2 linked regions of the Saccharomyces cerevisiae S288C genome follow. Each later gene encodes a partner of the first gene's protein in a complex. Each region holds a gene or a part of one and is shown in the gene's direction. Other genes may lie near its edges.

What was found. Proteins that work in one complex are often made in the same cells at the same time.
Region 2: the proteins of TFB2 (region 1) and TFB1 are in contact, whole or in part, in a cryo-EM structure (PDB 7K01), measured with the Saccharomyces cerevisiae proteins. Residues at the interface, in NP_015203.1 of Saccharomyces cerevisiae: Phe52 (codon at 1,867), Asn53 (codon at 1,870), Glu54 (codon at 1,873), Asn55 (codon at 1,876), Leu60 (codon at 1,891), Lys64 (codon at 1,903), Trp65 (codon at 1,906), Arg109 (codon at 2,038), Thr113 (codon at 2,050); in NP_010597.3 of Saccharomyces cerevisiae: Gln488 (codon at 4,346), Val489 (codon at 4,349), Asn493 (codon at 4,361), Glu494 (codon at 4,364), Asn497 (codon at 4,373), Asn500 (codon at 4,382), Lys501 (codon at 4,385), Ile504 (codon at 4,394), Ile507 (codon at 4,403), Lys512 (codon at 4,418), Lys515 (codon at 4,427).

The regions. Positions count from the first base shown.
Region 1 is NC_001148.4:317,799-322,480, reverse strand, and holds TFB2 (TFIIH/NER complex subunit TFB2), read left to right. Parts: upstream 1-1,713; coding exon 1,714-3,255; downstream 3,256-4,682. Other genes in the region: VPS30 (beclin 1), read right to left, coding at 1-410; MEI5 (Mei5p), read left to right, coding at 851-1,519; RNY1 (ribonuclease T2), read left to right, coding at 3,536-4,682. UniProt on the Saccharomyces cerevisiae protein: Component of the general transcription and DNA repair factor IIH (TFIIH) core complex, which is involved in general and transcription-coupled nucleotide excision repair (NER) of damaged DNA and, when complexed to TFIIK, in RNA transcription by RNA polymerase II.
Region 2 is NC_001136.10:1,082,181-1,088,640, forward strand, and holds TFB1 (TFIIH/NER complex subunit TFB1), read left to right. Parts: upstream 1-2,884; coding exon 2,885-4,813; downstream 4,814-6,460. Other genes in the region: SUM1 (Sum1p), read right to left, coding at 1-2,136; SSF2 (rRNA-binding ribosome biosynthesis protein), read left to right, coding at 5,401-6,460. UniProt on the Saccharomyces cerevisiae protein: Component of the general transcription and DNA repair factor IIH (TFIIH) core complex, which is involved in general and transcription-coupled nucleotide excision repair (NER) of damaged DNA and, when complexed to TFIIK, in RNA transcription by RNA polymerase II.

The DNA.
Region 1 (4,682 bases):
TCTTCGTCATGATCTCGAAAGGTACTGGTTCCATCGGAAGTATCACTATTAGCTTTTTTATTATCATTTCCGTTGGCATTTCCATAACGCTGGTCCTCTCTGCTATTACTCGTAATATTAGCATTATCATCATCATCGTGATTAAGAAAAACAAACGAATCAGTGATTAATTTATCATCTTTTAAATTCAAGTCTTTTATGTTCTGAATCTCCCCTAATCGCCTCAGCCTCTCCTTCGGTATTTGAGGCCCACAATTATCTGCGGCTTCGATGCCCTTGTTGCTGATGACATTTTCATTCGTTGCAGTGATAATTGAATTATTTGAAAGTAGCAAATTTCTTTGGGTTAAACTAAGACCTTCTAAAGATGGGTCTAGTTGCAGGGGTAAGTGACATGTTTGGCACTTCATTTTAATGCCCGTGTCTGGGAGTCTTTGCGAAAACAGTGACTGCCATAAAACGTAACTGAACTACCTAATGTGCTCCCATAGCACTACCCTTTTACTTCTATGAGAGCAAAATCCCCAGGCGGGTGACACTTAAGTACTACTAATGAAGGTAAAAGGACTATGTAATTCGATTATACCACCAGTCCATACTTCCCGATAGTTGATTTAAAATACACCTGGTTCGAACTATTTCTCTCTTAGTTGACACTTTATATACCAACTTTCTATATGAAAGTGATCATTTTACTATAGGATTAGCCGCGGAAAAAGTATTAGCCGCCCAAACTTCTATGTACCTTCCGCATAAATAGGAAAGAAAACAAGAAACTTGAACTTAAAATACTTCCACATCACAAGTATACTTTCCAGGAAAAGCACCAAATTACAGTTATCTAATAGTAATGCACAATCAGGAAGAGTGGCTAGACAAGGACAAAACTTTGGTGAACGAAGAAGAAAATACTTGCATCAACCATTCTTATACAAAAAAGGACACTAATAACTATCGGGTCGGTAAAAGCGGTATTAAGGACTTGAAGAAGCCTACGAACCAGAAGGAAATTGCGATAAAAAATAGGGAGTTAACGAAACAACTTACTCTTCTCAGGCAAGAAAATAATCACTTACAGCAGGCTTGTAAAATTCTCAGCGAAAACAAGATCATTGAGAACAGAAAATCCATAGAAAAATGGAGGACAATTTGTGAGATGGAACTGTCTTTTATTTTAAATTCCACTTTAATCAAAATCAATAGAATGGGCGGCTATAAAGATTTTCTAGAAAAAGAAATGGAGGCTAAAAAGAGAAGATTGGAATATCAGATTGACAACGGTATGGAAGATCAAATCTGTGAAATAAAGGAAAGTGATGACTTTAGACAACTTTCAGAAGTTGAGAAACAAGAGTGGGAGAGTCAAATGAATGAACAGCTGAAAGAGTTGGAAAAAAAAAAAATAGCGGAGCTGGAAAAATTGAATAAGGTGCTGCATGATAGCGAAGGGAAAGATTTTGGAATGGCTGAACTATGCACTAGGTTAAAACTTGACTACAGCTTAATCTTTCCACAATGAAAAATGCGTAAAACGTTTATTCATCTTGCATTTCTATTAGGTACGCGATTACTGAAAAAACGAATGTATTTTTTTGTTGTAGCGCAAATTACGCACCATCATATATTCACATATAACCTAACTTCATCGTCAGAATACAATACTAGTAACTTAGCATTAAAAGCCACCATCAAAGGGAAGAAGTGAACAATATAATGAGTGACTATTCCCTGAAGCATTCGGTCACTCAGTATTTGGAAGAAATTCCTCAACAAGTTCAAAATAGGCTTTATACCTCACCAGCTACATGTCTGGCTATCTATAGAATTTTACCACCACTAGCTAAATTTTTTATCATGGCAATGGTTTTCAACGAAAATGAAGTACCTTTGTTGGATTTAGATAAATGGGTTAACTCTAATGGTAAATTGCAGTTTCAGAATGCAATCAAATCGATGAAGTCTTTGCATCTTCTTATACCAAATAAATCATCTGGTACTTTGATGATCAACCTAAACCCAACATTCAAAATCAGCCTGAGGAACGCATTAACGGGTGGGGAAGTTCAAAACTCATTCGGTGTGGTTGTAGAGGAAAACGTAGTTAGCCTGGACTTGTTGGATGAATATTCAGCTAATAAATGGGAAACAATATTACATTTCATGGTTGGCACTCCCCTCGCTAAAATCCCATCTGAAAAAGTACTGAACCTTTTAAAACACAGTAAACTAATGGAAGAGGTAAACTCTACTGGAGAGTTCAAAATCACTAATGAAGGCTTCCAATTTCTTTTACAAGAAATCAACTCCCAATTATGGACATTATTATTGCAATATTTAAAAATGATCGAAACGTCCAAAATGGATTTAGTCGATGTTTTACATTTTATTTTCATGTTAGGCGCATTGGAAGTTGGCAAAGCCTATAAAATCGATGCATTAAGCGAAACACAAAGAATTATGTTACAAGATATGCGAGACTATGGTTTGGTATTCCAGAAGCATTCAAATGATAGCATTTTTTATCCAACAAAATTAGCTTTGATGCTGACTTCCGATACCAAGACAATCAGATCTGCCTCCAATGCGATGGATAGTGTACTGAGACAGAATAGAGAAGAGCCGTCAGTAAATGAAGACGGCGCCAACGGGAAATCCACAACAGATATCACTACATCAGATGATTTGAACAAAGCAGGTCTAAAAAATCAAGATATACCCGATGGCTCATTGATTGTAGAAACAAATTTCAAAATCTATTCATATTCTAATTCACCTCTGCAAATTGCTGTTTTGTCTCTTTTTGTTCATTTAAAGGCAAGATTTGTGAATATGGTATTGGGTCAAATAACAAGGGAATCCATAAGAAGAGCATTGACCAATGGTATCACTGCCGACCAAATCATTGCCTATCTGGAGACACATGCACATCCTCAAATGAGAAGGTTGGCAGAAGAGAAACTAGAAAAAAAATTAGAGCTGGACCCCAACTGTAAGGAGCCTTTACAAGTTTTGCCTCCTACCGTCGTAGATCAAATCAGATTATGGCAATTAGAGTTAGATAGAGTCATTACATATGAAGGTTCCTTATATTCTGATTTTGAGACTAGTCAAGAATACAACTTACTAAGTAAGTACGCTCAAGATATCGGTGTTTTGTTGTGGAAAGACGACAAAAAGAAGAAATTTTTCATCTCAAAGGAAGGTAATTCTCAAGTACTTGATTTCGCTAAAAGAAAGTTGAAAAAGAAACAATAAGTATATATACATATATATGCCCCTACATATCAATGCATTCAACGTAACAATTGCGCTAACACACGCGTCTTTCTTGCGCAGTAATTGTTTTCCTTTTTCATTCTTTCTTCTTTTGCATCTCTATCAACAAAATTTCGGTATCTAAGCTTTTCCTAAAATATCCCTTAAATGCAAACCTATCGAAAAGTAGGGGAACTACCGAATTTATAATTAACGCTTCAACTTTCGACCTATTGCAAGGCCAACTATTTAAGATATTTCAAACTAAAGTACTGTGTCAATGTTACTGAAAAACTTACACAGTCTCTTACAACTACCAATTTTTTCGAATGGAGCAGATAAGGGTATAGAACCAAACTGCCCTATAAACATTCCATTATCATGTTCCAATAAAACTGATATAGACAACTCGTGTTGTTTTGAATATCCAGGTGGAATATTTTTACAAACCCAATTCTGGAATTACTTTCCAAGCAAAAACGATTTAAATGAAACTGAATTAGTGAAGGAGTTAGGGCCTCTAGATTCATTTACAATTCACGGATTATGGCCAGATAATTGTCATGGTGGCTACCAACAATTCTGTAATAGGTCCTTACAAATTGACGATGTTTACTACTTATTGCATGACAAGAAATTTAATAATAATGATACATCCCTGCAAATATCGGGCGAAAAGCTGCTTGAATACCTAGACTTATATTGGAAGAGTAATAACGGGAATCATGAGTCCTTATGGATACACGAGTTTAATAAACATGGCACGTGCATTAGCACAATTAGACCAGAGTGCTATACTGAGTGGGGTGCTAATAGTGTTGACAGAAAAAGAGCGGTCTATGATTATTTTAGAATAACTTATAATCTATTCAAGAAATTGGACACATTTTCAACACTAGAAAAAAATAATATTGTCCCAAGTGTGGACAATTCCTATTCTTTGGAGCAGATAGAGGCAGCACTAAGTAAAGAGTTTGAAGGAAAAAAAGTCTTCATAGGCTGTGATAGACATAATTCCTTAAACGAAGTATGGTATTATAACCACTTGAAGGGTTCCCTTTTGAGCGAAATGTTTGTGCCCATGGACTCACTTGCCATTCGAACAAATTGTAAAAAAGATGGTATTAAGTTTTTTCCAAAAGGTTATGTCCCAACTTTCAGGAGGAGACCTAATAAGGGAGCAAGATACAGAGGAGTCGTTCGTCTATCAAATATTAATAATGGAGATCAGATGCAAGGCTTTCTAATCAAGAATGGACACTGGATGAGTCAAGGTACACCAGCGAATTACGAGTTGATTAAATCTCCCTATGGGAATTACTACTTGAGAACTAACCAAGGGTTTTGTGACATTATTTCGTCTTCATCTAATGAATTGGTCTGCAAATTCAGGAACATTAAGGATGCAGGTCAATTCGATTTTGATC
Region 2 (6,460 bases), on another chromosome or scaffold:
TGAGTTTTCTAATGGAACGAACGTGGTAGTTTCTTCATCTCCCGGGGTCTTTCTTTCATATTCTGCATTCTCCTTGGTAATTGCCTCTTCCCCAGAATTTAGCATGGACTGTATTCCAACTTTGTGAACCGTATCGGCAGCGGATATGGTTAGACCCATCTTGAGAGAGTCGCTGTTTGCGTTTGAGCCCTCATTGTCAATATCGACGAGTTTTTCTTGCTCTAATGGTTGATATCCTTCCTGTTGGTGGTCTGAAATGCCGCTGATGGAGGCCGATCTTGGTTTTGGCGACATTGAAGAACCTTTAGTTGTTGGTTTTTCTGCACTTTTTATCTTTGAACGGGTGGAGATCTCATTCAAATTTAAGTTCAAGTGATTATCATGTATTATCGAAGTCATTCTTTTCCTCCTCTCTTCTTCTTTCATTGCTTTTAAGAGTTTCTTATTAGACTCCATAAATGACTTTGCTTTATCGCGATCGTTATATTTCATATTAACAAGCATTTTCTCCCTTGAATCACGTCTTTTATCTAATTCTCTTTGTTGTCTATTCATCTCTGACGTAACCGCCGCAGCAGCGGCAGCTGTTGCTGCTGCTGGAGAGGAAACGGGTGGTAATTTGACCGTAATATTACCGCTGGCGTCATAACTTAATGAAAACTGATCGTTAACCATTAATCGGCGAATATCACTATTGATATCTGAATTAGCTGAAAATTTAATGACGTTGTCAGTATTATTATTATTGGTCGTATTATTACCACTATTTTCGCTGGATGATTTGATGGTTATTATTTTCTCCTTCTCGGTTTTATTTTCTTCAACATTTACCTTTCCTTCCACGTTATTATGAACAGTATCAGTAGTATTCGAATCCTCTGCGTTTGGATCACCATTAGTTGAAATTAGAGAGGCCAGTTCTAAACTTTTAATGTCTATTTCTTGTGTGGCTGACCTTGAAGTCCGAACCGGAGCCGGTTGTGACACAGGATTGGATGGAGATGATGGTATTTGATGAAATTTGGAAGATGGAAGCAAGGAATTTATTGGAATCTCGTTTTTAATCCGATTAGATGCATCTGACTTATCTATCGTATCCGTGGAATTGGATATCATTGTTTCCACTGTTCTCTTTTTTGGGGGCCTGCCTCTTTTTCTTTTGATTTGAATTAAGTTGTTCGGCGTAACAGGTGTTGGTGTGATGGAGCTAGAATTAGCAGTGGATGGTCGCTCTTTACCATTTTCATTGTTCGTTCTTTGCGGTACGGAAGTCAAGGACATATCAGCATCATCTCTTGATGATGAAGGGGCAGATAATAAAAGCGACTCTTGTTTCGTTGATGGTTCCACAAAATACCTTTTGGATTTAGACGTTTGTACTACGGCAGTCGGTAAAGTAATATTTACTGGTGAGAAAGGAGCACCCTGATTGGATGCACTTTTGAGATTGACCGAGGCTGCGTTTGACACTAACTTATTCATTGTGGAGGTCGAGGCATCTTTTCTTGGCCTGCCAGGTCCCCTTCGAGAAGAAGAGGTATTATGCTGTGAACTGGTATTGTTGGATGAATTTTCTATGAGAAGGTTAGAGTGATTTACTTTCGAAGTATTTTGCAACATTGTCGATAATTTGTTCAATCGTTCATTCAAATTATTGACCAATATGTCAGTATTTACTTGATTCTTCATGACATCATCCAGCTTATTTTCCAAAACTGATTGGTTGTGTGATAAAACTTTTAATGAGTTAAACAAATCCTGCACAGAATCAGTGAGGGAAGTGTCTTTGGAAAGCAAAGCCGTCTTCAAATCGTTGCATTGTTTTGTGACTTTGTCCATACCCTCTTTTAGGGCTTCAATAGATGAATGTGGAAAGGCCTCGGAATCTTTTATATGAAGCGGATTTGAACCAAAACCAGAGCCAACTTGTCGTTTTATATCAGAATCATCACTGACTGGTATGTCTGTGATGGATGGCAAAGCTTTAGCGTTCGCATCTGTATCTAGCTTCCTCAAACTATTAGCTTGATTTTGAGCACTGGTAAGTGCTAACGTATCTACGTCATCTTTGGGTCCAGACGGAAGTCTCTGTTCATTGGTTATGTTATCAGAAGGGGCTGTGGTGTTCTCAGACATCCCCGCAACAAACGAATTTTGTTAATTATGTATGAAACTTTTCGTTTGATCTCAATAATACCACTAGCGACTAAATTTTTATGATACTTAGCTACTTTAAACAAGTCCCTTGTGCTCTGTTTGCTGACACTTTTGATAAAATATGCCTGTGTATAATTCTTTTAGCAGTTTATTTCAAACACAAATGGTATTAAAAGGATAGATGAAAAAAAAAAAAAAATTAAAGCCACTAGTAATGATACAATCGTGGTATCACAAGCGCTGAATGAAACAAGTGTGGCTATCTATAGCGGATGCAAGTGGAGAACTTGTGAATCCAAACTGAAATATTTTGCCATCATTTGTTGTCCTTTCCCTTTTCCATTCAGGAAAAAAAAAAAAAATTTGACGTCGCCGTCGCGTCGCAGTCATATAATTACAGCAATTTATCTTGTTGAACGACGCAAATTAATGGAAATTGTGACTTACATAGTAAGTATTAGTAAACGTAGTTAAGGCCACGTGGGAAAGATATGAAAGGAGTGTAAGTAATGGATATCGGTCTAACGAAAATGGAAACCAATCTTTAAAAATGATAGTATGATTCGACAGTAAACTAGAAAAGCCACAACCCGTGGGACATGATAAGGCTGCTCGTTTTTGACGCAATTTTTAGACAATACTGAAATTTAGCATAATAAGCTTTCCCAGTGAAAGTAATAATATTTAACCTAGGGTAGGGGTAGGGAAAAAATAAAAGTAAACCATAATGTCACATTCCGGAGCTGCCATTTTTGAGAAAGTTTCTGGGATAATTGCCATAAATGAGGATGTTTCACCCGCAGAATTGACATGGAGGTCTACGGACGGTGACAAGGTTCACACAGTTGTCTTATCCACTATTGACAAGTTACAAGCTACCCCTGCTTCCAGTGAAAAAATGATGTTGAGGCTAATCGGGAAAGTGGATGAGTCAAAAAAGAGAAAAGACAACGAAGGAAATGAGGTTGTGCCCAAACCGCAACGTCATATGTTTTCGTTTAACAATAGAACAGTTATGGATAATATCAAGATGACCCTTCAACAAATCATCTCACGGTATAAAGATGCAGATATCTACGAAGAAAAGAGAAGAAGAGAGGAGTCTGCGCAACACACAGAAACACCAATGAGCTCTTCTTCTGTTACTGCAGGGACTCCCACACCACATCTCGATACACCACAATTGAATAATGGGGCTCCGTTGATTAATACAGCCAAACTAGATGATTCTCTCTCTAAAGAAAAATTGTTGACCAATTTAAAGCTACAGCAATCTTTACTGAAAGGAAACAAAGTTCTAATGAAGGTTTTTCAGGAAACAGTCATTAACGCCGGTTTGCCTCCATCTGAATTTTGGTCAACTAGAATTCCGTTATTGAGGGCTTTTGCCTTATCTACTTCTCAAAAAGTTGGGCCTTACAACGTTTTGTCAACTATCAAGCCGGTGGCTTCATCGGAAAACAAAGTCAATGTTAATTTGTCAAGAGAAAAAATTTTGAATATTTTTGAGAACTATCCAATTGTAAAGAAAGCTTACACTGATAATGTGCCCAAAAATTTCAAAGAACCAGAGTTCTGGGCAAGGTTCTTCTCTTCGAAGTTATTCAGAAAATTAAGGGGTGAAAAGATCATGCAAAATGATAGAGGTGACGTAATCATTGACAGGTACTTGACATTGGATCAAGAGTTCGACAGAAAAGATGATGACATGCTATTGCATCCTGTGAAAAAAATTATAGATTTAGATGGTAACATACAGGACGACCCAGTTGTACGAGGCAACAGGCCCGACTTCACTATGCAGCCAGGTGTGGATATTAATGGTAATAGCGATGGTACCGTGGACATCTTAAAGGGTATGAATAGATTGAGTGAAAAAATGATTATGGCTTTGAAGAATGAGTATTCAAGGACAAATCTACAGAACAAATCTAATATTACAAACGATGAGGAAGATGAAGATAATGATGAAAGAAATGAACTGAAAATCGATGACTTAAACGAAAGCTACAAGACAAACTATGCAATCATACATCTGAAAAGGAACGCACATGAAAAGACAACCGACAACGATGCGAAAAGCTCGGCAGACTCGATAAAGAATGCAGATTTGAAGGTTTCTAATCAACAAATGTTACAACAGTTGTCATTGGTCATGGATAATTTAATTAATAAGCTAGACTTGAACCAAGTAGTTCCTAACAACGAAGTCAGCAACAAGATCAATAAAAGAGTCATAACTGCAATCAAGATTAACGCCAAACAGGCTAAGCATAACAATGTTAATTCAGCACTCGGCTCTTTTGTCGACAACACTTCTCAAGCAAATGAATTAGAGGTGAAAAGTACCCTACCAATAGACCTATTAGAAAGTTGTAGAATGCTACACACAACGTGCTGTGAATTTCTAAAGCACTTTTATATTCATTTTCAGAGCGGTGAACAAAAGCAAGCCAGTACCGTCAAAAAACTTTATAATCATTTGAAGGACTGTATTGAAAAGCTGAATGAGCTATTTCAAGACGTCCTTAATGGTGATGGTGAATCTATGTCAAACACATGTACCGCCTATTTGAAGCCAGTTTTGAACTCCATTACTTTGGCTACTCATAAGTACGATGAGTACTTCAACGAATATAACAACAATTCGAACTAGAAATATAAAGGCTCTCCAGTTGTTACCACTTTTTACATTCATATTTTTCATCTATTTACTGCATGTTACATATTACATAAAACTTAATTGTGTGTATTCTTCCTTTTTGGTCTTTAGTCTCTATGTAAACAATAGAAAAACGCGGGACTCGATTAACGCTGTGCTGCACTGATGCAGCCGTGCGTGTAAATAAAACATTTAACGTGAAAACGCGCGCGAATGGCTTGTGAAACAAACAAGAAACAAACGGGAAATATTTCAGCATGTGATGTGGCTGAAAATTAGCAAACGATTCGTCAAAATAAATCAGTAATGGTGCTTTAGTTCTATTACAGCTTGCTAATGGTTCAGTAATATTTTCAAAAATTTTGCCAAACAGACCTAAGCACTTGCAATACTCCAGACTGTTAGTTCAGTCATTATCTATCATCTTGGACGATTTTGCAATTTTTTAGTGTAGATGCATCTCATCGACGGGCTTGTATGAATGATATTAAATAGGCAAAATAAACTAGTCTAGCTAATATTCGACTAAATTGCAGCTGCTAGGTCACCATCCCGCACATACCTTAGATATTTTGGAACTAATGGCTAAAAGAAGGCAGAAAAAGAGAACGCATGCGCAGATCACACCCGAGCAGGAACGAGATATTCCTAAATCCATGGTAATCAGAGTGGGACAAACTTCATTGGCTAACCATTCTCTAAACCAATTAGTAAAGGATTTTCGCCAGATCATGCAACCGCATACGGCCGTAAAACTAAAAGAGCGCAAGTCCAATAAACTGAAGGATTTTGTTGTTATGTGTGGCCCATTAGGTGTTACGCATCTTTTCATGTTCACTCAATCTGAAAAAACAGGAAATGTCTCGCTAAAGATAGCTAGAACTCCACAAGGTCCTACTGTTACTTTTCAAGTATTGGACTATTCACTGGGTAGAGATATCAAAAAATTTTTGAAGAGACCTAAATCGTTAAATAATGATGATGTATTAAATCCTCCATTGCTAGTGTTAAATGGGTTTTCCACATCGAAAAGATCTGATGAAGACGATCAGGATGTAAACGTGGAGAAGGTTATTGTTTCCATGTTCCAGAATATTTTCCCACCTCTGAATCCTGCAAGAACTTCGTTGAATTCTATCAAACGTATATTTATGATCAATAAAGACAGAGAAACGGGGGAAATTTCTATGCGCCACTATTTTATTGACATTCGAGAAGTAGAGATCTCTAGAAATCTAAAAAGGCTTTATAAAGCCAAAAATAATCTAAGTAAAACAGTGCCGAATTTGCATCGAAAAGAAGATATTTCTTCTTTGATATTAGATCATGACTTAGGCGCCTATACATCAGAATCTGAAATTGAAGATGACGCTATTGTGAGAGTGGTTGATAATCAGGACGTGAAGGCAAAACATTCTCAAACTTCGCTGTCGCAAAAAACACCCGTTAAAATGACAGATAACGAAGAACGTGAAAAAGGAATTGAAGAAGAAGATGTGGAAATGGAGGAACCTAAGCCTTCAGAAAATTCGCAACCAACTCCACGTAAGAAGGCTATCAAACTGACTGAATTAGGACCAAGATTAACTCTAAAACTGGTCAAAATAGAAGATGGTATTTGTTCAGGTAAAGTATTACATC